4 linked regions of the Rhinolophus ferrumequinum genome follow. The main gene of each other region encodes a partner of the protein of the gene in region 3 in a complex. Links are inferred from orthologs where the notes say so. Each region holds a gene or a part of one and is shown on either strand. Other genes may lie near its edges. The genes, in order: CNOT8, CNOT7, CNOT2 and CNOT10.

Region 1 (6,926 bases), on a different chromosome or scaffold from region 3:
TTATCAGGGATAAACTAAGTACGATTGGTTGAATTGAGTAACTGGGAAGGAGGACCTGCTTGGAAAACAACCACCACTCACACATTCAGAATCCGTACTGTCCATCTGGTATAGGGAGTCCACCATTGTTTCCACAGCTATCTCCGTCACTCATGACAGCTGTCACCATGGTTTCAGCATCCGGCCATTGCTGTCCCTGCTCCCATGCCTGAGGGTGGAGCTGCCTGACATCTTCGGGACTCAGCCCACTGCCAGGCTGAGCCGATCATTTCTGTTCCTAAAATGCTGACCAGAGTGCTGGGGGGTAGCCAGGCAGCGACAGCGTGGGTCCACAACAGTGGTCTTGGCTGGTTGGCTCTGAGATTTGGGCCCAATTACTTCCTCCCTAACCTTCTAAAGCAGGGGAGCCTTGTACACCATAACTTGGCTCACCCTGGCCATAGTCTCAGGGGCCAGTGATGAGAATTTTGAGTGTGGCTTTAGTTCCTGCTTTCTGGGCTTTGACCAGGAGTTGCTGCAGCAACTTACCGGTTCATTCTTGCCAACCTGAATTCGGTAGCGGGCGATGAAGTTGGGTTTCCCAGTTGTGTCAACCACCAGTAGAAGCCCATTTAAGCCCCAGAAGCACAAACTGGGCACCTGGGTGGCAGCTAAAGTTGGAAAGCAGAAGAAGGTTGGTTGTTTAATCGGGGTGACTTCAGGTTCTCACAGCACATGGATTAACTGGACACACACTTGATGGTAACTGAGGCGGCACTGGGGACAGTCCCTTGCCACGGAGGTCTTGGTGCACAGGGCCAGGGGATCTACTTTTAGTCTTAGATGACAAACTAGCTGGGGGAACTTGAACAGTCACGTAAGGAGTGTCTCTACTTATTTTCTTAGTTGTAAAAGGGGGACAAGAATATTCTAGATGGTTGGAGACCCCCAAAAAGTATATGCTCTAAAATAGAAACGAATTTAGGTTGACAATTGGAAGTCCGTACCCACTGAATCCTTTATGAATTTCCATGGAAGGGAGAAGCAAAGGAAGTGCTTTGTATGTTATGGTTCACAGTGAGCCCTGAACTAGGAGTCAGTCAGGGAACCTACTGCCTGTCATCCTCCTAACTGAGCAGTGTGACTTCAGGTGTCCAGTCAGCATTTCCCAAAGCAGGAAACTCTCTCTCAAGGGGCTTCTTGGTTAAACAGCTTTTCTACCATACTGTCTTGCAGAGTCATGGTCGGGACTAGTGTGTTAACAGCTCTGAGAATTCCTGCAGCAAAGAAACTGTTTGACTTTGTTAAACTCAACCTTTCCCAGGCTTTTTTTTTTTTTTTTTGTAACCCCAGAACTCTTTTCTCAGAATACCTAATAGGATGGCCATGCATCTCTGTTTGCCCAGGACTATGTCGATTGACATCTGTCTTTCCAGTATAATTATTAACACCTCATTTACTCTCACAAATGTCCCTATTTGGATAATGTATTATATGGTCATCCCACAGCACTGTGTTCTGCAGGATGTATTAGCAAATACCGATCAAGACTTGACATTTAGAGAGCTTTTTGCCTCACATCCCATCTTCCCATGAAGTCATTCCAAGTATCGCTGATGTCCTACTGTGAACAAACAAGCACTTTGTCCACCCCAACTGGCAGTTAATCAAGTGACATCGCAATGTTACGTAACTCTTGTACTATTAACTTTCTTTGTCCATGTTTTCCCTCCTCTTAATTCATTATCCAAGGGACAAGGACATTTGACTTAACTCTGTGTCTCTGTGTCCCTCCTCCATCACCACACTGCCTTGTGGCAGTTGATTCCTGAAAAATACTTGGCCAGCACTGTGGGGAAATATGATTGGCACAAATATCCCAGAGGATACTAGTAGGAAATGAACTAAATAGATGAGAGTAATTACATACATTGGAATGGACTGGGCAGCTTAAAATGTTACGTAAATCTATATTAACTGACATGGAAAAGTGTCCACAATATATTTAACGAAAAAAAAAGTTTTAAAAAATTTGGTGTCTTATAAGTTCAACCATATATCCAGTTTAAGATCTGTATTAATATATTAACAGTGCTTACTTCTTGGATGGGAGAGAAGGGGTGCTTTTTCAGCTTTATGCTTATTTGAATTTTCTGGTTTTTATTTTAACAGTGAGCACGCATTTACTTTTATGTTCAGACATAACACACTTTAAATTGTTAGGTTTGTGGTTGCCTACTAGGAAATCCAAGGGTTCCTTGAGGAACACAAAATGCAAACCACAAAAAATGGTCTTGAACTTTCTTCAAGCTCTAACACTTAAAATTGCAAATACTTTTCTCTCTCTGATATTTTCTTATCACCTTGGTGACAGATAGTTTTCCCATCACTGTAACAGGAGTATATAGAATGTTTTCCTGCCACTTTCCCTATATACATTTGCAATCGGCATTATTCTTTTCAATGGCTACTTAAGATTGCATGGAACCTATTTATATTTAATTTTCAGAGTTGTCCTTCCAGCTGAAAACAATCGTCAGGGACATTTTATTTGTACTTTTGCTTTGTGACAACTGACCCTTTTTTATCTCCCCCTTTAGATTGTGACGTGGTTTTTTGATGGGATAGACTAACACTTTATCTTAAACATCTCTCTATCCTCGGTACAAATTTGGCACAGAGTAACATTAATAAATATCATTTGAATGAATAAATGTATGATTGAGGACAGTCAATATTGTAGATAATGCTGTTATAAATATGTTGAAATGGCTTTTGCTTCCACTATGTTTTCTTAGGCTTGTTTCAAGCCATTCATGCTGTCAGTAAATACTGAGTGACCACTTGCTGTCCAGCCTCCAAAGCTAGATGGCACCAGGTAGAAGGACACAGCCTCGCATGACATACAAGGGCTCTCTGCGCTTGTGGACCTGACATCTAGAAGCAGCATTACTGCTTGAAACATGCCTTTATTTTCACACAAACTATTTCTTGTTTTCATTTTTCTACTTTTGGGGAGAGGGCGATCTCCATTTCTCAACTTCTTTTCTTGGATAGCCTTGGACGTCTGTTCTAGATTGCCCACAAGCTTAGCAGTTTGGGGGTTACACTGTCTTAAACTTTAAATCCTTATTCCTTGTAATAATGAGCTGAGAGTCCCAAGGTAGAGAACAATAGAAAAAGAGTTAAACTATGATCACGTACGCAAACCCTAAGCCCTGGTGGTCTGGGAGGCTCACCTATTATGAAAAGGATCCACTCCTTTCCTTCAAATGTAGACAGCAACCTCTCCCACTCAGCTTGCCAGAAGTGGCCAGAAGCACCCCAAAATCTCTGAAGATGCCTTGAAAGGAAAATCAATCAGGTTTCTGGGTGAAGATTGATGGGCGGACAGCCCCTTACTTCACGCTTTGCCCCCAGACCACCACCACACTGTCCCCAGGTGCTGAATTCAAGCTGGTGGAGCAGACTCACCATGTGACTGAGTTCCAGAAGGCCACAAGCAAGAGAAGGCCAGAGCCCAGGATGAAAGCAGTCTTCCTCATGGAGCCCCAGATATGTCCCTCCTGGGGAGGATAAGAAAGTGTCAGGTCCCAGCTAGCCTCCTGCCTTCACTCACAGCTCACAGCTGAGGCCTGACAGGTGTGACAAGCAGTCAGGACCTCAAGCACGCGAGCATTGCACGTCAGTGACCTTTTCCCAGTTTCTGTGGGAGGCTCGTCCTTATCACGAGCTCTAGGGCTGTACATGGGTGTGTTTATGAAAACGAGAGGTCAAGGTTGGGAGAGGGAAAGGAACCAACCTGGCTCCAGAGACACTGGCAGGTAAGTCTGTCGCCCAGCCTTCCATCAGCTGTCTTCTTGTTGAACTGAGATGCCCAATTATGTACACATTGCAATCACCTGGGAGCTTTTTAAAAATCCAGGAGTCCAGGTCCCTCCCCAGCCCAAGGACATAGAGTGTTTGGGGTGGAGCCTGGGCCTCCAGGTTTTTAAAAGCACCCCAGCTAATTCCAATGGGCAGGCAAGGCTGAGACAGCCATCACAGAGAACCTGCAGAATCCGTCATGAGGACAGAGGGACTTCATTGTATTCAGGAGCCTGGCCTGTTTTCCCATCCCTATCACCCTCTTGCCCGTGAAGAAAAGAGTGAATGAACACACATGTTCTGCCTCTTAATGATCCCTCTGCCTTCCAGCGAGATCAGCCAACTGGACAGGACGATGAGCGGTTCTAAGGGCAAAGAACAGACCACTGGCAGTCGCTGGGAGGTCCTTCTCTGTTCTCCTCCAAGAGCCTAAAGTAGAGGTTATTGCAAGTGTGGTGCTCAAACGAGCTCCCAGACTTGGAGAAGGAAAACACTGGCCTCCAGGTGAGTCACGGGTTTCCCTGTGCCGTGGACAGGAACTACAAATGGCCCTCCCATCCTGTTTCTAAGCCCAGAGGAAGCCGTCCTGCTCAGGCTCTTCCATGGGACAGAACTGGAGGTGGCGGTGCTTATAGCTCTGTGCTGGGCTGACGTGTATTTAGGGAGCTGGGCCACTTACGAGGGGTCGGGGTGGTGTCGGGGTGGTGTCGAGGGGAGCTGATCAAACAGCACAGACACTACGTTTTAACCCAGACGTTTGAGATCTGAAGGAGCAGATTGTGTTGACTGACCCATTCAGAGCAGCCTGAATCTGCACTGAGTCATTTCTTCTTGGCCTGGCCTGTTCTACTCTTGATCAAAAGACCAAAAAGAAGGAGGTCATCTTCCATGGCCTGTGGAAAGTTTTTAAAGGGCTGGTGTTCATCTGGGTCTTGAGATCTAGAAATGAGCTTCTCTCTCCCTTGTCCCTCACCTTCTCCCTCTCCCTCCTCCCCGCTTCTTCCCTCCCTCTCCCTCAGGGCTGGATCCACAGGCCGATAGGAACTTGTTCTCTTACACAGGCCATTCAAAGGTCACCACCCCAAGCTTGTCAGGCAGGTTACCTTGGGCTTTTGAAATTATTCCTTTTCTTGGATTCAGAGGACCCTTTTCATGAACTTTTCCAAACTCACTAGGAAGTTTTCATTTGAGTTTAATCACATCAAGCTAAGTCAAGTTGAAATCCTCAATTTCACATACAGGATTAGATTTTTTTCAGGGATTATGGTGTTTTCTCTCCCTCCAGCACCCCAAGTGAAAGGACTATACACAGGACAAAGACCTCTGTGAAGTGCGGGAGCTCACAATGCAGAAGGCAGCTGAGCTGAGATCAAGAGTTGGTTCCCAGCCCCCAGTGGGCTTCTCTTGTCCCCAGGGCAGTGCTAGAAAGGTGTGGCTCCAAAGGCCCAAGGCATGGGACATTCTAAGGGCCAAGAGACCGTGGCAGGACAGCTATTGGGTTTTGCCACTACCCTCATGCAGGGCTGCTCCGTGGTGCAGAAAAAGGGGCTTTGGTTATAAAGCAGGTTGGGGTCAAGTGGTCTCAGCTCAGCTACTGAAATGAGCAAATCACCAAAGTGTCAGCTACCCCTAAACCCTGGGGGAGATGTCAGATGTGCAGCAAATGCAGCAAGCGCACACATGGAAAGAGTCACTGGCTAAATTCTCACCAGTTTGGTGGGTGGGGTGCTGGCATTTACCTGCTTAGGCTTCTCATCATGTAGCTTACTTCCAGCTTCTCCCTTCATCTGGAAAAAGAAAGCACAGTTGAGTCTGGATGTCATTTTTACACGCAACCAAGGGAATAGGAAAGTCAAGGGGAATGGCTAGCTGTGATTTTTAAAGCTGGCTACTCATTAAAACCACCTGGGCCCCACCTCCAGCGACTGAATTGCTCTGGGCATCGCTACTCTGAATCGGGGTTGGCAAGGGGACTTTGCCTGGAACTGGCTTTCTCAGGTATGGTCTGTGACAAATCTATTTTTTTTTTTTTAATAGCTTCACTCTGCCCCAGAACGACCTGTCTCATTCAGAAGAAATCTCTGTCCCCGGACCCCCCACTCTTCCCTAACTGCCAATAACCCGTGGCCCCAAGAAACCAGGACAGAAGCCAGGGCTCTGCCCCCTACCTACTTAGACAGCTTCCTTAACCTCTGTGAAGTCAGGTTACCACACATGGCCTGGATCTGTCATGCCGATTGAAATCGAAGCATTTTGCAAGCTGTTCAATGTGATTCAAACAACAGGTATATTTACAGGTAGAAATCATTAAGACAGGGAGCCTCAAAATCTGATACCTTTCTCAAGGCCATCTCTCCGTCGTGTCTGTCACTTACCGGTTTTGTGACCCAGGACTTTTTCAGTCTCTTCTTTATCACATTTCTTGGTATTCTTTTTAAGTGTTTTTGCAACAAACTTAAAGTGTTTCTACATATTTGAAATAACGCATGACTTTTCTGGGAAGGTGACAGCCTGCGACAGTGGCTGGGTTTGGTGGGCGGGCACTTGAGTTGCTGGACAGTTGACTTTATTGAGTATCCCACTACATATTTTATTACAAATCTTTAATAATTAAAAGTGTGTGGCTAGCCCATGAATAGGCAGACATATATTACAGATTAGAAAGTCCAGACATACACCTAAAAATATATATGGGAATTTAGTATATGATAAAGAGAAATCAATATAAATGGACTTTCAATTGAACAGATGTTGAACCTCCTCCATAAAGAGAAATGTGAATTAAAACTACAATAAAATATTACTTCTCATCCATGAGCATGGCAAACATCCAAAATTTTGACCACGTGCCCTGCTAGTGAAGCTAAGGGGACTTATTTGTATTTGTTCTTACACTTTTTACAAATAATCTGTATTGATACATAATTCACATGCCATACAACATATCCATTTAAAAGTGTACATTTACATGGCTTTTAGTATATTTACAGAGTTATGCACTCATCACAATTGATTTTAGAATATTTTCATCACCCAAGAGAGAAACCTGCACCCCCTCAGCCGCCATTTCCCATCCTCCT
Region 2 (7,665 bases), on a different chromosome or scaffold from region 3:
ATTAGAGCCAGAATTGAAATCCATGACAGTCTAATTACAAAGCTTTCATTCACTTAAGTCAGGCTGCTTTTCCCAACGTCAGTATTTTTGCTTACTTCTACTTATGTTGCTCAAATTCATTTTGTCTTTTATCAAGGAACCTGAGGAACCTACGGACTTTCACAGCCGGGCAGGGCATTAAGAATTCAGGTAGTCAATCTTCCCATCTCAGCAGACCTAAGGTTATGTGAACATCCAAGGTTCACTGCTAGTTAATGATATACGTCAGCATCGCCTGACTTCTGGTTCAGGGCTTCTTTCATTAAGACTATTAGTTATACCAGAGTAAATAAACAAAAGCAATTCTGATAAACTTTAACTCACAAATTAGATTTTCTTATTGAATATAAAATAAAATTAGCACCAGAATTACCATGTACTTGATTATTAAAATGAATGCAGAAATCCTTTACTTGAGAGAGCTAATCTCCCTAAGTAAAAGGTAATAAAGGATTATTTGTATAACTTTGAATTTACATAGTTAATTACAGATAATAAGTACCATTTACAACATAGCTCCAGGTTGTGGTTTTCCAACTAAGGAAATAAAATAGTAATAAAAATAAGCTAATTAACTTTAGATATTGTGAGAGAAGAAACCAGGACAGTTAGGATGGTAACTGTTAAAGACTATTAGTTTTTGATATTTCTTGATTGCAGGGGCAATGCAGGGAAATACTTAACAGCTTCACTTCTGAAGAATCTTTAAATATTGGGATTAGTGTCACCTGGGATATTTCCAGGTTGAAAATAGCTATTAGGTTGGTGCAAAAGTAATTGCAGTTTAAAAGGTTAATTGCAAAAACCGCAATTACTTTTGCACCAACCTAATAAAAAAGTGACGGTTTATTACATGTGCTGCCGAAGCGAGCGATGGTTTATTAAGCTTACACTGCAAGAAGCCCAGAGACAGGAAGGTCCCAGAATTGGTTAATTCAGCATCACAATATTAGCACAGGCATTCCATCTTTCTACTCTTCCACAGTCAATACAGTCAGCTTGTATTCCTTCCTGATCCAAGCAGTTCCAGATGTCCCAACATGACAACAATATCCAAAACATAAGAGAAACATCTTTTAGACATCTGTATTATTGAGAAAACATATTGAGCAGCTCCGCAGCAGACTTCGACTTCTCCTTCAACTCCCACTGACCAAGGTTAAGAGTCCTGCTTTCAAAGTAACACACACAGGGCATGAAACCACCATCACTGGCATAAACAATCATTTACCTTCTGCGGTTGAAAGAGCATAGCCTCCATTGAATAAGTATGTGGTCTTGCAGGCCCAGAACCCAGATAAAAACAAGTGTTCTTCAAGAAGTCAGGGGAAATGGATATGAATGGGAAGCTCCCTTCGAGTGAGCTTCTTTAGGAAGTAGTAGAAACAGAATTAAGTTCTACTCCTGCCCAGAAAGTCAGGAGTTTTAGGTGGTAAATTACATAGTATGATGACTGTTATTCAGAAAGCAGAATATATTACTAGAGCCTAATCTATATAACTTTCAATTTCCATTTTACAGCAAACGTGCTTTGGTTAAACACTTTTTTTTTTTTTTTTTTTTTGGTCATATGACAGTTTCCTATTTGCCCTGCCTCTCCAGTAAGACTTAGATGAGGAAATACACATAAAATTTAGCTAACCTTTAGAAGAGTCCTGAGGGAGATGAGGAAAAATTTTTTAAGGTAACAAAAAAAGGAGTTTACATTTAGTAGAGAAAGGGAATTAAACAAGCTCTTTCCCAAAGTGGAATTTTTTTCATTATAAGGAATTGAAAGATAAGACTTGGAAAATAGATGAGAGAGAATGGGGTGGGAAAAGGTTCTTGAGGGCAGGCAAAAAAAAAATGAGATACTTTCACTGGCAGAAAAGAGCTGTTGACCTTACCTTTGGAGCAGGGATAGATATGATAACTGAGGGAGGTGGGCTGCATAAACAGGATATTGATATTCATAATTTAGAAAGTTTTTGTAATATTCATGAAAATAAAATACCATTCAAAACATTCTTTCAACTTTTAGAGTGTACCTTCAGAATAAGCACACAGTGTCCTTCTATACAAAATTCTTTAAATATAAATTGTATACTGCACAGATTATTTTTACCAGCTAGCTTTAAAATGTATGTCATGAGTTAAAAGGGCAGATTTAACAAAATAGGTGGATATCATTTTTTCTGGAATAGTACCATTCCCTGAAAACTGGAGGTATATGACCTACTTACTTAATTATCTCCAGAATTCCAAGTTTAGTTTATAAATGTGTAACATTTCAATAAAATAAAAGTTCAACTATTTTCATAAAAGAACTTAAAGGAAGAAAGAGTCCTTAAAATTAGATGTTTATAACATTACAAAATATGTAGATAATGTCACATGATCAATTATATGTCCAAAATTTCTGGCTCAAGAAATAAAAGTGATCCTTTCTGCATTTGACTCAAGAGCAGTTCCTTTCTGCAAATGATCCTTTCTGCATTTGACTCAAGAGCTGATGCTCTTACCAATTCCAGAACTCCTTAGATTAGCAATTCCTGTTTTAGAATCTTATTTGGGAAGTCAAAAAAAAATACATAATACATTCCAAATTGATCACTTCTCCTATTTACCAGCCTTAGCAGCAAAGGACTTGAAATATTTCAAAAATTCCACTCCAACCTCAAAGAACAAAAATTTGCCAGCAGTGACAATATTTAACACAATATACTAAAGGCTTAAAAACAATTAATTCCAAAGGTGTGGTTCTAAGAAGTATTTTGGCAATAGTAGTATTAGTTTAGTAGATAGTCTTCTAAGGTGACACTTTTTAAGAGGACAAACTTTTGTTATGTTTGTTAAAAATGAAGCATCTCTTGTGAGAGTAGCTCTTACAGGTTAGTGCGGAACACTGTTTAGAAGACTTCTAAGAACTCTATGAACTCAATTTTCCAAATAGAAAGCCACCATTAGATCAAAGAGTATACCACTCCTTCCTGTTAAATACCACAAATTTTCATCTTTTGAAAGTTCTGAACAAGCAGAACAACTGAGGCTAAAAAAACCAAGAAACAGCCGAAGTTTAGACAGCAATAGGCCTTATTTTAGCGAAATTGATTTTGCAATGAATTTTTCTTTTAACTATCTAATTTAAAACTATTCTATACTATAACTTACTTGCTTGGGAAAATATTAATGTAACAGATAAAATGGCTCCTAATAGTTCAATACTTAGTCGATTTTATTAACTCAGGATATATATTTTTAAAATGTATGAATAGTTTATTTTAAAAAGGGTTATAGTTGAGCGACGTTAACATCTTTACATTAAAATACATGTTATGACACTATTAAGTACATATACTTGCATAATTCATATAATATAAAGAGGCAGTTCTAATTTTTGAAAACCATTAGAGGCCACAGATATGTGCAATATAAAAGGCGGCAGCCATACCAGATTACAATAAAAACAACTGAAATCACTTGAATTGCAAAATATTTCTAATCTGACCACGAAGAAAATGAAAAACTCATAAAAGACAACAGAGCAGTCAGGATGAATATAAGACAACTCCTGAGTGTGGAAACAGTGAGGAATGTACAGAGTGGTAGTTGCCAGATACAAGGACGTTGTTGGAACAGCGTGAATCTTAAATTAGAGACTTAAGAGGATTGAGTATGTTTCTCCCAGAGAACTCGCTGATAAAAACTTTGGCTTCCCTCTCCTTTGCTGTTGCAGTTTTTTTTTCCCAAAAATTTTCCACTCTTTGTGAAACGTGGATATTATTCGTCACAATTCTTTTTAGCCAAATAGATTATTTTAACAATTTGGCTAAAGCGGCAATCAGCAGGCGAAAGGAAAGATTAGTGAGGAAGAACCTGGAAAGGAATGTTGGATGTAAACCATAAAAGAGATTAGTCAGCAGCGATGTGTCAGGAGGAATGAACAAGTCAAAATTAGAAGAGCTGAGCAGTGTTGGAGCAAGAGGGAGGGACCTGGAGGGTCCAGAGGAAAAATCCTGAACATAGGTCTGAGATGGCAGAGCAAATGTGAGACCTAGTACGAAGGGAGGTGGATCAAAATGAGGCAGCTGCTGGAGAGTCGGCCTGAGAAACTGTGAGTGTGATTAGGACCAGCCCGCCCTCCTGCCCTACTTTTTCCTCCTGTCCGAGAGGCAGCGACCAGTCACCTGGAGTGTGAGTTCCGGAGGGACTCGATCAGGCGCTGCTTCTGCTGTTGGAGGCTGGTGAGGCCACCGGGGGAGCCAGCTGCGGAGGAGGAGGCGCTCTTGGTCAGCGGGAAGAGCCAGCTCATCCTCCACGGGTCCCCGGGCCCGAGGCCCTAGACTGTTCTGGCCTGCTTCTCCCAGCTACTCAGCCCGGTGGTTCTCCAGCGACAGAAGACCAAGGCGCCGGAGGCCGGGGCTCCAGTGCTGGGCGGCCGCGTCTTCTCTAAGCAAGCCCGGCTGGGGGTCCTCGGGTTTTGGGGGGTATGCTATGACTACAGGTAACTGGAGAGAGGAAACTTGCCGCCCGGAACAGGCAGCCCTACCTTGGCGGCCCTGACGCCAAACCAGCCAGTCAGGCAGCTTCACAGCCCAGAGCTTTAACCACCCCAGCCTCCGTCACCTGCGTGCCCCGCCCCCTCTGCGTGTCGCGTCATCATCTAGCGCCCCCGCCAGGACGTTACGAGAAGCGACGGCGCAGCACGGTGCGGAGCAGCTCCGGCTCCCCTTTCCCCCTTGCCGGGCGAGCGGTGTCTATGGGGCATCCGCTGCCGCCGCCGCCGCCGCCGCTACCGCCACCGCCACCGCCGCTGGGTGCTGTCTCTATGGCGAGGAGGAGGAGGAGGAGCGCGAGCTCAGTGACACAAGTAGATCTTGCGTCTGCCGCAGACCTGCGGGGGGAGGGGCGGTTTGGGGAAGTAAAAAGGGGGTGGGGACGATGAACCTGAGAGGGTGCGCGATGGCGCCAGCTGGAGCTTGGCTGGCGAAGGACTGAGTTGGACGGCGGGCCGAGGCGGGGGAGGGTAACTGGGGCTGGGGTATGTCAAGGAGTTGGCGCGGAGTGATGACGTAAAGGCTTTGTACCTGGAGCTTCGATATTGTGGGATGGAAATTGGGGGTGGAGGGCGGTGGCCTTCATGCACAGCTAGCTCCACGTATTCCTTCGCGCACCAGTGCTTGGGAATCAGTCTGGCCCCAATGAATCCTTATCAGCACCTTCGCGCTGGCTCTGTGCCAGGGAAGGGAGTTAACTGACTTGAATGCTTCTATACTGTCCTCTCTCGTTTCTTTGGGAGCCTGCAGTACGGAGACTTTACCTACAGTAATGAGAAGGTTTCTGGTGCCTCATCGGAGCTTCTGGAACCGTGGTAGAGAGAGATGAAGTAAAGCAATGTTAAACAATAGGGTCTTTCCAAAGTGTGTGTGTGTGTGTGTTTCTTTCCAATGTGTGTGTGTGTGTGTTTAGCGTAGTGGACAGGGTTATAAAAGGGAACTCCCCTGGCTCTTAGAGCACTCGGTTACATTTGTTACTGCAGCGTTTAGAAGGGGGAGTAGTGTAATTCCCTCTTTTACCTTTGTTAAAATTTTTTCAAACTCCTTGTTTGAAGAATTTCCTTGCTCAAGAATCAAAATGTTGGTCTGTACTCTTATCATCATATACTATGCGACCAGTATTTATGGGCCAGAGAGTTGAGATTTATGTTTGGTAACCAGGGAAAATGCTCTTGAGTTTTAGGAAATTAGAAACAGTTTGAAATATGGACACACTATTTTCTCCTTTCTCTCTCCTGCAGTTATGAACATTCAGTCTCTGTGGCTATCTGTTACAGCTTTTTGTTGGTTTACTTTTGTCCCCTCCAATCTGGCTTGAATAAATGCCAGTAAAGGAGATTTTGTAATCAAAACAGATTTTGAATGTTTTGTTAATGAGGAATAAAAGCAGACATTATCTCTGTCCTAGTAGCATCTGATAGTCTCACATGTATATCAGTATTTCACCTTTCATATTTTGTCTGGAAATGGATGTCTTTACAAAGTTTTATTCAGAGAGTCAGTTGAAGTCACAGCAGTCTGTAATTATTGGAAAGTTTTAAGAAATGATTAGTATGTATACATAAAAAATACTATTTTTACGTAACATTGGTATTAGAACCAGGAAACTTGTGTTGTGGTCCTTTTTTTCCTACTGATTAGATGTGTGACTTTAGAAAGGTCACTTCCCAAACTTTGATTTTCTTATGAATCAAAGACTTTGAATAAATAATCTTTTAGGTTTCTGTCAACTCAATTATTCCATAATTTCATTTTCTGATACAGCTGGGTTTTATTTTGGTTTTTATTATGACAGGTACACAAATAAAGGATAAAGTATTTTATGAAACAAATCTTCAATCAAATATAATATTTTGATGCTTGGCAGCTAGACTTCTTGTGCCCTCACTATGCCAGCAGCAACTGTAGATCATAGCCAAAGAATTTGTGAAGTTTGGGCTTGCAACCTGGATGAAGAGATGAAGAAAATACGTCAAGTTATCCGAAAATACAATTACGTTGCTATGGTATGCCTGTGATCAAATATCCTTAAAATACTTCTTATAAAAGGGGAAGAAGGATTTTTAAAGTCTTGAATTCGGCCCTTCTGGTTGATTTTTTTTTTCCCATGGATTTTATTATGAAAATTGTCAGTATCCTCCAACCAAAGACCACCTGGATCACACCTGTAATGTGACAAGTTGGGTTGATTTACTCACTGCGTGAGGGAAAACGCATACCTTTGGAGGATCTGGGGGCATTTGAATAAGACTGTGTTAAAAAGGACTTTTGTGTCAGGTGGTTTTAGGGAGGGATGAAGGAAGCCAGACTTTGCTCTGGATTGGATAGTGTCATAAAGCTGGGTAATTATATGATAGGGTATCTTAAGTCTTAACTACATTGAGAGAAGATGAGAGTGAAGCTAAAGCTATAAAGAAGCAACAGTTATGTTTTTGTTATTTTAGTTATGGTAATAGAGTGGCCTTGTCTGGTGTTGAAGTGTGAAATTGTTTATATTGGACAGAAGAACATTAGGACCTAGCTATGAGTGCCAGGTCAGCACCTAGCAACACTAAGGCCTAACTGATAGTACCAGATGAGCTCCTGTAAGCTAGGGAACTCTTGGATGTCTTTCTCAAATAAAAAAAAATCAGCTTCCCAGTGAAACATTGTTGATCTGCAGTTTTTTGTTTGGTTTTTTAATTTATTTTAGTTATCAGTGGAGTTTCATGAACACACTGCTTTTGCATATACTATTCAATCTGCCTGGACTGTCTACTCAGTTAATTATTTTGCTTCTTTACTACTGTATCTCATACATCTGTTATAGCCACTCTACCATTTTCTAGATAATCAGCTTTGTGAAGCAAAGGGTTAGTATCTTAATCATCCTTTGTCCTTCTGACATCTAGCATAACATATTAGCATCCAATAAAGTCGTTGAGTTGGACTGAATTTAGAGAAGTTTCCATTTTTTTACTCTTTATGATAACTTGGTATTTAGATTTTGTTCTTAGCTTCCTGATGTATCCTTTTCCCAGTATTTTTAATATAAATAAATATGCTCTGTGGGAAGGGGAAGGTTGATTGGTTGAAATACGAATATTTAAGT
Region 3 (7,934 bases):
TCTCTTAGCACTAGGTTCCTTGATATCAATACTATATGTAATTCTATTCAAACATTACAGTGCAACTCAGATTAACTCTGCCTGTAAAACTGCCCTACCAGGTACCTTGGTTTCTTTTGCTTCTTTGTGTTACAAAAGCCACTCGAGGTCTAGGTAACAAATAAAATCTTAGTAGTATCTTCTAAGACTATCACTATTTGCATAAGTTGTCCTCAAATGGCTATTCAAGCAAGCACATGGAAAAGTTTGCTTGTACATAATTCTAATAGAATGAACTTTCTACAGTTAAAATAAGACAAAAAATACTGTTGAACATTGCTTTTAAAGAGCAAAAAATAGTTAACTAACTTCTTTTTACTACTCTATTAATATCTGCTCATTTCATACATAGACATGAAGCATACCTTTTCTTTATTATCAGAAAATCTTATGAAGCAAATTTGTCACTAAGGAGGGTAAAACTGTAATTCCCACAGGTTGTGAAAAATTCTGTAAGGCTCTTTAAAAAGTATTTTTAATACCAGTATCTATGAAGAGAGAAAAACCAAAACTGTGTTCAAAGAACTTCTAATGAAATCTACTCATGAATGTATTTATTTACTTTGAAACAAACAAGGTTGTAACTGTAAAGTATCTCAAAAATCAAAAAGTAAATTAAACATCCAAAGTTACTAAGTAAAAACAAAGGTAATTAGTTCTCTTGGGGAGGCATATTCTGAGTTTAATCAAGGTCAAGTACTTTTCAAAAAAAGGGGATGTAAATCACTTATACATTTTGCCCTCATTTTCCCACCATATAAATTCACTTTAAAACAAAAGTATTACAGAAACTGAAAAATTTTCAAAAGTTGTATTTGTTTGGTTAAACATACAGGCATTTTTCATTCCCCAAAAGTATCAGATTAGGTTACAGATATCTTTACCCAGTATACTTAGAATAAAAGGGTTCTGCCAACAAATGATGCTTAGGTGAATATATTTTTATTGATGCAGCAGCACCAATTAGGATGCAAAAATGTGAAAGTTTCTCAGTTCCTGTCTAAAATACAAAGTATTCACAGAAGTCACTGCAATTCAAGCCCCCAGGAAAGGATGAGAGAAAAGTTAACCTTTTAAAATTAAATGAGGATCTTACAAAATGGAACAGTTTTGCCTTTTTACCTGCATTTTGTATTTTTCCTTTCATTTTACGAAATTACAAACTGTTGAGTTGAACATACAAAGCTTACTAACGATCTTGATCCATTAAGAAGTATTTCAATGAAGAGAGATCAGAATGCAGACATCTAACCATTTGAATGTAGCAGGCATTTAACCATTTCAGCTCACGGTGTTTCTTAATAATCCCTTTACATCTAGGGTAAGGTTATCTTCCATAATTGCCAAAGAGATGTGTTCGTTGACGTTTGGGAAAAAATACTGTCAACTATAGCAAGTATTACCTAAAAATTCAACATAAACCTGGTATGTAAATACGTAGATCCTTTCAAATCAAAAGATGCCCTTATTCCAGAGGTCTAGAAATCCCTAATATCAAGCAAGACAGGAAATGTGTTCAACTTTGAACAAAATTCAAGTATGGCCTCTCTCCTTTACAGGTTTTGTTAATTCAGTGCCTTCTACATTTCGCAAATCATCTAAGAGTTGGTATCAGTGTACACTTAATGTTTTTATACTGATTAGAAACCATCCCGAAGATTAAGAAAGGAGTAGGATTCTGTGGCCAAGAGTTTTATGAAAATGAAACAAAACTGTTGCATTCGGTCTTCTGAAAAGTGAAGGCATCTCCTAGGATTCAAAGGAAGTTGATGTTTGGGTTCCTTCCGAGAGGGTGGTACCCGCACGTAGGACTTTTATGGTGGTAATACCATACTCACAGGGCCTGGAATAAATGCAAATTCTAAAACCTTGGAAATGCTTTTATTGAAAAAAAAAAAAAAACACTACAACTCGCATTCAAAAAGGTTCAGTCACCAAGAGTTACAGGTTTTCTCTCCTCCACGGACACAGAGCCTCAACTAAGAACTAGGAGAGCCTCTTTTAAGACCACTCTTTTCTTCCGTAAAACTTTTAAGTTAGACTCAAGACAGCAAAAGGTGGAGAGGCCCCGGCGGAAGTAGAAACCTAGGGCTAGCAACTTAACAGACAGAAGCGTCTCGGGTTCCTCCGCCGCCCAGGACTCTCCGGACTGTCTCTACCACTACGGAAGCTTCACCCTCCGGGTGCGGTAGCGGAGGAAGCATCACAGTTGCACTCCTTCCACCATCCGAAGCCTTCGGTATCCCAGGGCCTGGAGGCGCCTGAGGCCCGTTAGCCAGTCCAGTGTTCCCCATCTTTTACACAAACACACATACACACAAGTTGCAGGTGATGTTTGTGTACTGAGAGTATGTGAACAGCCAGGGACCGCGGCAGGTGATGGGAAGGCGGCAGTACTGTCTAAAGCGGGCCCGGGCTCCTTGGCCACCGCCGCTGCCGCCTTCTCTTCTTCCCCAGGAAGCGGCGCGGCGGAGGCTCCTCCGTGCCGGCGGGAGCCCGTGGGAGCCGAGTCTGGGGGAAGCCCCAGCGCCGGCCGAAGGGACCGGGCCTAGGATCCAGAGCTGCCGCTGCAGCGACCCGAGTACAGCGACGCTTTACGTCCGGTCCACCACCCTCCTCATACACACCCCCTCCCTCCCTCCACCGCCGCCACCCCCCCCTCCCCGCCCGCTCCACTCTCCCTCTCTCGATTGGAGCCGAGACAAAAGCAACGGGAAGCGGAGGGCCGGGACGCTGCCCGCAGACCCCAGGCGCGACCGGACCGGCCCCGAGGCATTCCCCTGCCTTGCGGGGGCCCCGAATCCGCCGCCCCCGCCGCGCGCCCCGCCGCCAGACTTCCGAAAATTTGCCAAAAACTCACCGCATGAATTTTCTTGTCCCGCGGATCCAAGATGGCGACGTATCCACCGCAGAGGCTGCTGGGAGCAAGACCTTTACCCTCTGACCCCCGCCGTGACCCCCGTCGTTCCGGCTTCCCTCAAGGCGGCGGCGGAAGGTGGGAGCGGCGGCTGCCTACGGGCTAGGGTTGGGGGTGGGTAGACCGCTTCCCGCGCGTTAGGCTGTAGGTGGGGAGAGGTGATTCACTTCATCACCTCCCCCTCTGCGGCCTCCACCTTGTCTCGCACCAACTCACCGGAGGCTTCTAGCTTCTCCGTGGCCGTTATAACGAGCGGGGCCTCTGCGGCCTCTACAGTTCCCCGGAGGCAGGGTTGCTTCACACTGGGCACGGGCACTGGGTGCGAGGTGGGCCGCAGGGTCCAGGGGCGGGGACTGGTGAGGTGGCATGGGTCCGCCCTCCCTGGGGATGCCGAGCGTGTTTGTGTTTGTGTTCGTGTCCGACACCCCGCCCTCCCCCCACGTCAGCCTGGAACGGGGGCCTTGCTCCCTCCCAGCACGTGAAGCAAGTTGATCGCTCTCCCCCTTTCCTCCCTCAGCCCCCGCAACCTCCGGTGCTCGTGCACGCACTTCCAGGGACCGGCAGCACGTCACCTTCACCTGAGAAGTGAGTTCCCCCTGCTGAAACCACTGGTGGCTTCTATTCACCACCCTTCTTTTTCCTTTTTAACTTGGTGGGAGGGAGCATATTGGGGAGCAGGTTTTTAAAGCCCTTCTGGGTGAGCTTGCGCCAGCAGTTAGATTTGTGGCACTTGAACTCGCCCCCACTCCCCGATCCCCACGTAGGCTCGAGTGACCGGCCGGGCTGTCTACAAGACCGTTGGAAATTACGGTGCTTGTGGTGGCAACTTCAGGAGAATGAGAAGTCTCTGCTTTCCAGAGAAGTAATTGTTTCTCAAAGTGAAATTAAATTTCTTTCTTTGAAACAATAAAGCTCTCTTTATTCTTTTGTATATTAATAAACTCTTCCCTTTTTGTTACTACGCGGCATTTTTGGACTTAAAAAGAGCTTCTGCATGTCTGTTTTGGGATTGTGTAGTTTCATAAAGTAAAAACTGTTTCTTTCTATTTTCGGTGATAGAATTTGTTAATGTAAAGTACAATTCATTTGGAGTAAATAAAATTTCTACTTCCTTTGTTCCTTCTGTAAAATCACCTTTTCCTCCCCCAAAACTCACTGTAATCCAATTTAAAATTTTATCATTGAAGGTCAAAGGGCATCTGTCAGTCATAAATAGGAAGAAAATAAGCATACTATAAAATAAAAGGTGACTCATGTTTACAGAATACAAGGTACTTTGAATTTGTAGTTTCTGTGTAAATTTATTTAAACTCCAAATGGTGCTGATGTAGCCAGTAGAAAATGTTTGCCTGGTTATTCATTTCATTAAACATTCTGCTTCACTGTGTTTTTTACTTCAGGAAAATTCAAGGACTAACACTTCTTTATATTCTTCCCTCCCTTTTTCCTCCCTTTCCCCCAGTAGTTCCTTTCTGCTTCCTAAGCTTTCTCTTCTATGTAAGATCATGTGTTAAAAGACTGACTACACCTCTATGTCATACATATATCTGTGTATTGCTGAGCCTTTTAATCTGTTAATAATTTGAAAGTATAACTATTAATATTTGGAATCATAAGATGGAATAATAAAAATGGGATACGTGGATATGTATATAGTAACATCAAGTATTACTTCCCATTTATTAGTTTGACTCACATAGAGGACTTTGTTAAGACCAAAAGATGTACCTTATTCTTAACATCCCTATATTTACTCAAAAAAGCACTAGTTTTAAATTAATAACATAAACATAGGTAAAATTGAAGAAATCACTTCTAGAAGGGGACAGGTCTAATTGGAGGTTTTGTTACCTTGGACATCTTACTGAAAGAAATAAGACAACAAACATTTCCACAGTAAATGTGTAGGGTTTATACTGATACTGTTGCTTTCTTGAGAACACTGTTTAGGATAAATTTAAGTCTTGTTGGAGAACAAGTTTTAAATTGTTTTGTCACTGGTGTCCAATCTGTTAAAATTTTGTAAAGCTTGTTTAATACCTACCTTAGAGGTTGCTTCTAAGTACTCAATGAGCTAACATTTGTTAGGAACTTATAGTAAGCACTCTGATACATTTTTTAAAATTGTCCTATTGCATGAAAAAGTTCATTTTTATTGCTAACATTGATCAAATTTGCCCGTTTGGTAGATAGGTTTTTTTTAAAATTATTATTCACTTTGGTGGATAAAACAGTCCATACCCTGTAGGTGTTTTGTGTTTGTTTGAAATGTGTGAAAGGTAAATTCCTTATGCATCTCATAGAAAAATTACTGATTTCAATAGAGAGAAAAATTCCTTATTAGGGGAAAAATGAGTTTATAAATAACTAGTTATAGGAAAGGAGGGCCTCACATTTCTTAAAAGTTGTAGACAATACTGAAAATCTTACCATGGTAAGGAATGAAAAGGACAGGTATCTCAAATTTAACAGGTACTGCACTAGAACATTTGAATCCAAACTCGTCCCATAAACAGTACCAACAGTTTGCTCACTTGCTAAGGCATAAAACTAGGAATCTTCTGTGATTCCTCACATTCTGGGTCCAACCCCTCATCCAGTACCATCAGCTCTTGTGTGTTTTCTGAGCTCAGCCACTTCTCATCACCTCTGATGCCACCACGCTGTCCAAGATACCATTATCTCTTGCACAGCAATATCCACTATCGCTCTGCTTCCACTTTTCCCTGTGCCCTTTCAGACCATTCTCTACATACCAGCCAGAGCAATCATTTTTAAAAGTTTGTAAGGCTACGCCACCCCCTTGTTTAAAACCCTCCAATAGCATCCCTTAGAATAATATCCAGTTTTCTTAACCACAGCCTTTAAAAGTGCATAATCTGCCTCCTGCCTACCTCTCCAACTTCATTTTATTATTACCCAGCCTGCCTTTCTGTTTCTGACTTGTACCAAGCTTTTCCCAGTCTGTAGCACAGACTATTATTAGTAGTCTCCTAAAATTTGTTTTTTTCATAGTAATAGACGGGGGCACATGGCTGTCCAGAATAAAGACTATATTTTCCAGCCTCCATATATCCCTGTGGTAGTTCCGGCCAATCGGATATCCGCAGATACGCCATGTGGCACTCGTCCAGAACCATCCTTAAAAGACAGCTGTTGCACACCTTCAGGCTTTTACTTCATTTTCCTTTTATATCCTACACCCTGGAAGAGTTGCCAATTTGGGCCATGGGCAAGTTCTCCCATACTAGGGATGGCAAAAAGTAAGCTGGTGGAAACCTGGGGCTTGAGACCTTTGTGGAGTACCGTACCAGTCCTGCATTCCTTACGTTCAGATTTTGATGTAAGGAAAAAGTGAACTATCTTATTAAAGCTACTATTTAGGGTCTCTTGTTCTCAATTGAACTTAATGATGCTCCACCTCAGGGCCTTTGCACTTGCTATTTTATTTTCTGTGAGATATGCTTTCTCTATGACTATATATTCTGTTTCCCTGAAAATAAGACCTAACCGGAAAATAAGCCCTAGCATGATTTTTCAGGATGACATCCCCTGAACACAAGCCCTAAGGCGTCTTTTGGAGCAAAAATTAATACATATAAGACCCCGTCTTATTTTCAGGGAAACACGGTATGACTAACGTTCTCATCCTTCAGGTCTTAATTCAGTCAGATATCATCTCTAACATGCCTTACTTGGCCACCCTATCTAAAGTAGCTCCTTTTTGCATTCATTCTCTCTCACATGACCCTCTGTTTTCTTAATAGCATTTGTAATTTGTCATTTTTATTTATTATGTTTCCCTTCACCCTACTAAAAAATGTAAGTTCCATGAGAGTAGGGACTAAGTTTGTTTTGTTCACTGCTTTATCCACACACGGTACACATTAGATAAGTAGTTACATGTGTGAGACTGAATAAATGAACCACTGAACTAATGAAATAAATCCTTATCCAAGATTAGGTAGACTTTTTAAGTAAATGTCTTGAAAGTTTTCCTTCAACGCATAATGTATAAAATCCAAGTTAGGAAGCAGCTAGGAAAAATAGTGCTAAACTAATGGAATAAATATGCTTAGCTTGCAGCTCTTGATAATGAAGATATGTACCTTTTTCTGGGAAACTTACAAGGTTATTACAGAAAAAAGATAAAGTAATTGGTGAGACAGAACGGCAAATCAAAAAGAGTGCTGCAATATAATATCTAGGGCAGAAACTCCCACTAAATAGTAGTCTGATTTATTATACTGGATCTCAGATTTATCATCTAAAATATATGTAAGAATCTTAAGCTTTGAATGGTAATATTGTAAAAGTTTAATAGCAAGTCTGACTTAGGAGCGACATAACGTGTTACACATTAATTTGGTCTTCAGGTGTTATTTTATCAAGTGATTATGTCTTGATAATACTGGCAAGGGTTCAGAGAAACAGCTTATACTACTGAGTATAAATTAGCACGTTTCTAAGGTGTGGTTTGGCAATATACCGGGGGTGCCAAAAAATACATATACACATGACTTGTATTCATCTTTTGTTATCGGTATATATTGAGTATTAAAATTTTAATAGTTTTTTCCTTTCTTAAAATGTGTATCCATTTTTTTGGCACCCTCTGTATATCAAAAACCTTGAGCATGAGCATTTGACAGGACAATTCCTCTTCTAGAAATGTGTCATAAAAATATGTATAACAATTTTATTGCAAGAGTGTTCATTACTGCATTGTTTACTAGAATATTGGTTAAATAAGCTACATCCATACAATAGAACAGTATTTAGCCTTTAAAAATGATGTGGAGAAAATTTTATCAATATGGTATATTAAGTGTGAAGAAAGTTTTAAAATATAATTCCAATTTAGTAAAAATTTACAAGTTTACAAAGGACCAACAGGATAAATACAAGATAATTCATGCAACCTTGTAGAAGTAACTGTTACAATTATTTTTATTTCATTATTTCCATATCAGTTTTT
Region 4 (7,723 bases), on a different chromosome or scaffold from region 3:
GCCTGGCAGGGCAGGCCATTGGTGAATATTTACTGAATATATAAATATGACAACATTAGCTAGTCTTAGCTAGTGTCTGGGTTTCCAGTCTTGTTTCACTTCAACTCACCCTCTACCATAGCCAGCGTGGTCAGGTCACTTACCTTCCTAAACTCTTTCATGGGCTTTTTTTTTCTACCTAATGAAAAACAAACACATAAGACCCTCTATGAAAAGGGCCCTGGGCCCAGGAGCGCAGAGATGAAGGAGCATATAAACTAGATTTTGAATGAGGAGAGTGTTCAGACACAGAAGAGGAAAAAGGGCATTACTACCCAGAAGCTCAAAGGAACACAATGCTTTCCAAGAGAGTCATTTGTGGCGTGAAGAGCTAGATGTGTTGATATAAAAACTTCAGCTGGAAATAGACTGTGAAGAGCCTCACAAATGACATTAAGGAGTAAGGTTTTGATGCACAAAAGATGGTAAGGTCTTAGAAAGTTTATAGGCAGGGTAATGGTATGATCCAATTAGTGTTTCAGAAATAAAATGAAAAGGCAGCAGTAAGAAGAATGGATTGGACAGGAAGAGACAAACATCAGTCAAGAGGCTGCTTAATGTGAAATTGATCACAATGAGAGATAAAGGCCAGACCTAGTACAATTGAAATGGGGATGGAGAGGAGCAGAGAGATTCAAGAGAGCCACACTAAACTCTCACCCACTTAACACAGAATTCAACCTTATTATCAAGATAGGAAGTTTCCTAAAATATGGCCTATAAACTTAAACCAACCAAAGAAACAGCCCGCAGGCCGGCCCGGTGGCTCAGGCGGTTAGAGCTCCCCGCTCCTAACTCCGAAGGCTGCCGGTTCGATTCCCACATAGGCCCGTGGGTTCTCAACCACAAGGTTGCCAGTTGAATTCCTCGAGTCCCGCAAGGGATGGTGGGCTCTGCCCCCTACTACTAGGACTGAACACGGCACCTTGAGCTGAGCTGCCTCCCAGATGGCTCAGTTGATTGGAGCGCGTCCTCTCAACCACAAGGTTGCCAGTTCGATTCCTCGATTCCCTCAAGGGATGGTGGGCTGAGCCCCCTGCAACTAGCAACGGCAACTGGACCTGGAGCTGAGCTGCGCCCTCCACAACTAAGATCGAAAGGACAACAACTTGAAGCTGAACAGCACCCTCCACAACTAAGATTGAAAGGACGACAACTTGACTTGGAAAAAAGGCCTGGAAGTACACACTGTTCCCCAGTAAAGTCCTGTTCCCCTTCCCCAATAAAATCTTTAAAAAAAAAAAAACAGCCCACAAGTCACTGTGGACTTTATTCTTCTCCTAGATATATTACATAGCTTGTACTGAATGGGAGTGTCATTAGATGTGTCTCTGGCAGACTGAACAGTAGGTCCTCAAGGGCAGGGAGTATGTCATATTCATTTCTTCAACATCTAAGGCAACACATGGCACTCAATCTTTGCGAATGAATGAATGAACAAGTACAAGAGCGCTTTATGACTGAGGAAGGACTTGAAAATTAGATGGGCTTTAGGCCTAAAAAGGTCATTCCAGGCAAGTGCAATGGTATAGGCAAGTAGGTATGGAATGGCAAATCTGGTGAAGAGAGACACTGTCTTCATTAAGAATGAAGATGTTGGTTCCCCTGGTCCAGCCTTGGGCAGGTCAGGCTTATTCCCTGAAGCGTTTTCCCTACCCCCCCATTCCCTATGGTTTACTCCTCATTTCATTCAGCTGTTTGCTCAAATGTCACCTCACCAGAGGCTTTCCCTGACCGGCCTATCTAAACTTCTGTAACACACTCCATTAGCCTCAACTTTCTAAACCTTTTTTCTGTTGTTTTTTTTCTTTTCAGCTGATTACTGAAGAGATTCTCTACCAATTTTATTCATCTGTACTTGTATTAGGATGGACTCACTAAAATATCAACTCAAGTTTATCTGTCAGTTACTAAGATCCGGACCTAGGACAACCTACAGCACACTGAGTTTTTTTTTCCTTTTTTTTTTAGTAATTTCACTGTAAAGTCTAAGTGTTGACCACTTCCAACTTTGTGGATGCCACAGAGAACATTAATTTCTTTTAGGAAACATACACCACACCGTCCCAGAGGTAGGCTGGAAATAATTTTATATTCCTTAATGAAAAAGATTCTAGGAATAGGGCAGTAATCCATAAACAAAATCAATGAGATCAAATTAGCTAGTCATGAGGAACTAGGGAAAACAGGTTCTAAACGCAGGATGTTAGAGAGCACAGACCAGAGCCACACACTATGACTTCATGTCTATTTAAATAAGTGGTTTACACGAAGCTTATACATAGCATGTACCTGACCAGAGGCAGGTTGATGAGGCCAAAACAGCCCAGGTGAGTCTTAGCCTGAGCAGCTGTGTGCTTGCTCCAGGGTGAACTTTCCTTGCTTTGCCATCCCCATTAGGAAATCGAAAAAGTCTGTGAAGCGGCCAAATAAATGCAAGCTTTTTCAGCCAGCGATAGTCTGGGAAACTGGGCAAAAGCGGTCAGTAGCTGCACTTGGGTAAAAAAGCTATCAGACCTCAGCGACGGCCTTGGGACCAGAGAGGGGAGAGAAATGCACGCCCAAATTAAAGTCGCCCTCGAGTCCTCTACCCCTAGTCCTCACTCCGGGCCCCGCCGCCTCCGCGCGCAGGGCTGGCCCACCCTCGCGTGTCCCGCCGTCTCAGCGAGAGGGGCGCGGGCGCCTTACCTGAAGGCTTGTCTGCAGCCATCTTCCCGCCTCGGCTTGAGTTCTTCCCCGCAGGTGGCGTGGCCTCGACTCCAGCTGCCCGGCTGGCTGCTATCCTGGACCTCTGAGGACGACTCTGCCCACCCCTGCTCCAGGCCCCTGGGTTCCGGCCAGCGGAGTGGGCAGACCGAGGGCTGAGGAAGTGACGAAGGCTGGTTCACGTCGTCTAGCAACTGCAGCACCGTCTCCACCAAGGTTTCGCCACTGCATCCCGCCTTCTACAGTCTCCACCCCGAGTCACGGTACACACTACTTCCGGGGGCCGCGGCCGGCGTGGGAACTGTGGCTGGCTCCGCCCCACGCTGGCGTCCTCCCGACCCCACCCACTGCGCATGTGCGCGTGCGCGCGCGCTTGCGCCTCTGGGTATGTGCTGGGTAGGGTGGGAGGGGCCTGCGTGCCACTGCCTTTTGCTTATCCGGACTAAAATATTTAAGTGTCCAAGCAATTGTTCCTTATTTTACATAAAATCACAATAACCACACCTGACATTTATGTGCTAAGCATTGAACCTTGCACTTGGCTTTAGTCTCTCATTGATTTCTCACAACTCTGTGAGAAAGCACTGTTGCGGTTCCCGCTTAAAAACAAAACGTTTTATTTTAGAATAGTTTTAGATTTACAGAGTTGCAAAGATGATACATAATTCCTGTATACTCCCCATCTAGTCTGCCCTGTTGTGAACATCTTAGTTACTAAATTACTATGGTACATCCGTCACATCCAAAAAACCACCTTGATCCGTACTATTACTATTACGGGGGGACTTCTCCATTTTCTGAACAATGTTCCTTTTCTGTTCCAGGAATGGGATACCACATTATATTGAATGCGTCATGTCTTCTTAGGCTATTCTTTTTTTCTTTTAATTTGTCTAATTTTTTTTATTGAGGTACAATTGACATACAACATTATATCAGTTTCAGGTGTACAAGATAATGATTCAATACTTGTATTTATTGCAAAATGATCACCACAATGTCTATCACCATACATAGTTCCAAATATTTTTTTTCTTGTGATGAGAACTTTTATGATTTACTTTCTCAGCAACTTTCAAATATGCAGTAGAGTACTACTAGTCACCATGCTCTGTATTACATCCCCATGACTTATTTATTTTATAACTGGAAGTTTGTATCTTTTGACCACCTGCTCCCATTGTGCTCCTCACCCCCTCTCCTGCTTCTGGCAACCACCAATATGTTCCCTGTATCTATAAGCTCTTTTTTCCCCCTAAGATTCCACATATAAGAGATCATACAGTATTTGTCTTTCTCTGTCTGACATATGAGTATTTCACTTAGCATAATACTCTCAAGGCCTGTCCACATTGTCACAGAGCCGTCATCTTTGCCCCCTTCTCCCCCTTCCTGCTTTGAAAATGGTGAGGCGAGAGCATGATGCTCAGAGCTGTGGCAATTATCTTGGGCCCACTGGGGAAAACAGAAAGAATCCCAGGAATGTCGAACTGCATCCTGGCATTGCTGAGTCACTGATTCAGCAATGGAAGAGCTTACCTGCAGATTTCTCATCAGTGAGATAATTAATGCCTATATCATTTGAGACTTCAGTACCACTGGCACTACAGCATCTCCTCACATAGTGTTGTCTCAAGAAGGCCCATTCTGCAGGTTTTAATTCTGGCACTTTCTAGATCTTACCAGAAGATGTCACAAATGGTAGGTTTTCAGATCAAACTCGTGCATACACAGGGAATGACAAACATAACACACAACAGCCATCTGTCAGACAGTGATTGTGAGATGCTATCAGTTGTGAGAAGCCTGCCAATTTTAGAGATGACAGAAATATTGTGTCTTAGAATCAAAGAAGTATGGTGAATCTTTCCTAGACGCCTCTCACCAAAATGTCCCCTAAGATCTCATCCGTGAAATTGGTTGCCTGCCCACCACGAGGCAATTACTGGCAAAAAGAGATTCCGATGCATGTTTTGGCTTTATCATGATGCATCCACAAAACATTCCTGCGAGGAATAAATATAATCAGAATTTTATTAAACGGGAGGAACTGGGAAAGGCTGCTGACAGACAACCTCGTCACATTACCTCTATTTATCTCTTCTTTTATTGACAAACATTGACGTCAATTCCAATTTTCATTTTACAAACACAGCTGCTGAGCTCACTCTTAAACCTGTGAACAGTTAAAAGAGTTTCTCTGGAATAAAGGTGTACCCATATTTTTTTGGGAAAATATTATTGTGAAACCTTCCAAACATACTCAAAAGTGGAAAGTATAATAAATCCCATGTGTTCATTCCCTAGCATCATTTAACCATATACATGTTTTATCTACCCCGTCCTCCTTATTATGTTTTGTTGCTGGAGTGTTTTAAAGCAAATCCCAGATAGCATATCATTCACCTCTAAACACTTCGACATGCAACTCAAAAAGCAATATCCAAGTATTTTCTTACAATACCATTATCACATCTAACAAAATTCAAAATATTTCTTTAATATCATTCAATCACCAAACCATACTGAAATTACCTCTACAGTGTAAATTTTTTTTGGGGGGTAATTTCTGTTTAGAATCAGGATCAAGCAAGATCATTTTACTTGTGTTTCTCTTAATCTAGAACAGTTCGCTCCCCTTTTATTATTCCCTACATTGACTTACTGATGAAATTAGAATCCAGTATAAGATCCCTGGCATATCGCTTCCTTGTGACTGCATCCTTTATGCTCAATATTTCCTGTGGACTACAGGTTACTTCTAAAGGCTTGATTATGTTATGAGTCAAAAAATTTTTTCCTGAGAATTCTTCCTAGGTGGTGCTTTCTTCCTAGGTGTACGTTCTGCAACCCCATTAGAAGGCACAGAAGGTTGGTTGTCTCACTTTTTGTGACGTTAACATTGATCCTTGGATTCAGATAGTGACAGCCTGATTTTTATCCGTTTTCTATCAGCCTTTCTCCTAGTGGTTTTAGAAGCATTAATGGCCACTGTCTGAACCAGTTATTTCACTAATGGTTGAAATAATTTTCTCATTTGGATATTCATGCATTTGTTAACTAGAATCAGGGCTATGTGAGTGCCTTCTTAAATTTCATTCTCTAGGCACCCACTCAGTTTACCCTACTCCCAGCCCTACCTAGAATTCTTCTGTACTGAAAAACTTTTCCTTATCCACAGGGATATTTGGTTACACTGAAATTTAGTTTACAGAAAGGCAGGATGAATGTTTAGTCCTCTCCCTATAATTATCAGTTTTCAGAGGAATAAGTTTGATGTTCCAGCAATCTCCAGAACTATTTCCTTTTCAAAAAATTACTCTGAACTTATGGCTTTTTATATATTCAATATGTTTTCATCAACTGCAGTTCTTCATCTTTTTGAAATTAAAATTATTCTGTGTGTGAGCACACAACCCCAATAATTATATTAATTCTATGATGCTTTTCATCCCCTAATTTAGCTGTTGTTGTTGTATATGTGTTTTAGACATATTCTCATGTTCACCAGCTTCTTTGCTCATCCTTGCTCATCCTTTTAAAAAAAATAGCTACATTGACATATAATTCACACATACCATACAATTCACCTATTTGAAGAGTATAGTTTGGGGTGTTTTAGTAGATTCACAAAGTTGTGCAACCATCACCACTAATTCCAGAACATTTTCATCACACTCAAAAGAAACCCTGTATCCATTACTAGTCATTTACCATTCTTCCTAACCCCCAGCCCCTGGCAATCAATAATCTGCTTTCTGTCTCAAATTGACCATTTGAGAATTTAAATATTCTGTATATCTCATATAAAGAGAATTACCATACAATGTGTACCTTTTGTGACTGGCTTTTTCCACTTAGCATATTTTCAAGATTCATCTATGTTGTAGCATGTGTCAGCAGATGTCAGTTCAGATTGTTCATTATAAGTAGATAGTAACGTAAGTGATTTTTGTATACTGATCTTGTATCCTGCAACCTTGATGAACCTGTTTACTAGGTCTTACAGTTTTTCAGTTAATTCCTTAGGACTTTCTATATACTAGATCATATCATCTGCAAATAGAGAGAGTTTTACTTCTTCCTTTCCAATCTGGATGCCTTTTTTTTCCTTGCCTAATTTCCCTGCTAGGACTTTCAGTACATTTTTGAATAGAAATAGAAAGAGGGGACATCCTTCAGTGGGGCAATAGATTGGGGAAGGGGTGAAATCTCTATTACATTGTTTTGTGCACCTGAAACTAATAAAAATCTTAGGGGGAAAGCGTCCAGTCTTTTACATTTAAATATTTTGTTAGTTTTGGGATTTTTTGTAGGTGCTTTATTAGGTTAAGGAATTCCCTTCTATTCCTAGTTTGTTGAGTGTATTTTTCATGACAAGGTGTTGGATTTTGCCAAATGCTTTTCTGTGTCTGTTGAAATGATTATGTGGTTCTTGTTTCTCATTTTATTGATATGATATATTATACTATTACAAGAATTGCCTTTCAGATGTTAAACCTACCTTGTATTCCTAGGGTAAATCTCATTTGGCCATGGTGCATAATTTTTATATGTTGCTGAATTCAGTTTGCTAGTATTGGAGTGACCCTGTTTTCCTCTTCACACTTTAATTCCCATTCTTATGTTTTAAACTCACCAATAAAGAATGAACCCACAAAACTCTAGGCACCTCATCCCCAACCCCCATAAAGGCAGAACCCCTAGTCCATGCTCTCTGTCTCTACTGTGACCTTGTATGTGGCCCCTAGGTGTGCTGAGTACTCTCCAGGACTAATGAGTCATAAACCTTTTTATTTCAAAATTTCCTGATGGTTGCTGCTGAGAGGCCTGTTGACATCATAACCACCACTGGGCTGGGCCAGCCTCAAAACTGAGGAAAATGGTGAGTGCTCCCAGACATTTCTAGCCAATAGCATCACTGTCTACAGGCTGAGACACAAAACAAATGGCTGCTTTGAATGCCTTGTTTGTTAAA

The links.
Region 1: CNOT2 (region 3) and CNOT8 share a complex: the UniProt entries of both Homo sapiens proteins name them as parts of the CCR4-NOT complex. The link is inferred for Rhinolophus ferrumequinum from reciprocal best matches to the Homo sapiens genes CNOT2 and CNOT8.
Region 2: CNOT2 (region 3) and CNOT7 share a complex: the UniProt entries of both Homo sapiens proteins name them as parts of the CCR4-NOT complex. The link is inferred for Rhinolophus ferrumequinum from reciprocal best matches to the Homo sapiens genes CNOT2 and CNOT7.
Region 4: CNOT2 (region 3) and CNOT10 share a complex: the UniProt entries of both Homo sapiens proteins name them as parts of the CCR4-NOT complex. The link is inferred for Rhinolophus ferrumequinum from reciprocal best matches to the Homo sapiens genes CNOT2 and CNOT10.

Annotation. Positions count from the first base shown.
Region 1 is NC_046307.1:25,681,559-25,688,484, forward strand, and holds the start of CNOT8 (CCR4-NOT transcription complex subunit 8), read left to right. Parts: upstream 1-3,920; 5' UTR 3,921-4,350; intron 4,351-5,585; coding exon of another isoform or gene 5,586-5,633; intron 5,634-6,926. UniProt on the Homo sapiens protein: Has 3'-5' poly(A) exoribonuclease activity for synthetic poly(A) RNA substrate. Its function seems to be partially redundant with that of CNOT7.
Region 2 is NC_046287.1:72,513,084-72,520,748, reverse strand, and holds the start of CNOT7 (CCR4-NOT transcription complex subunit 7), read left to right. Parts: upstream 1-4,658; 5' UTR 4,659-4,888; intron 4,889-6,369; 5' UTR 6,370-6,463; coding exon 6,464-6,580; intron 6,581-7,665. UniProt on the Homo sapiens protein: Has 3'-5' poly(A) exoribonuclease activity for synthetic poly(A) RNA substrate. Its function seems to be partially redundant with that of CNOT8.
Region 3 is NC_046293.1:66,019,822-66,027,755, reverse strand, and holds the start of CNOT2 (CCR4-NOT transcription complex subunit 2), read right to left. Parts: upstream 3,018-7,934; 5' UTR 2,905-3,017; coding exon 2,900-2,904; intron 1-2,899. UniProt on the Homo sapiens protein: Component of the CCR4-NOT complex which is one of the major cellular mRNA deadenylases and is linked to various cellular processes including bulk mRNA degradation, miRNA-mediated repression, translational repression during translational initiation and general transcription regulation.
Region 4 is NC_046300.1:18,102,060-18,109,782, forward strand, and holds the start of CNOT10 (CCR4-NOT transcription complex subunit 10), read right to left. Parts: upstream 3,018-7,723; 5' UTR 2,750-3,017; coding exon 2,728-2,749; intron 1-2,727. UniProt on the Homo sapiens protein: Component of the CCR4-NOT complex which is one of the major cellular mRNA deadenylases and is linked to various cellular processes including bulk mRNA degradation, miRNA-mediated repression, translational repression during translational initiation and general transcription regulation.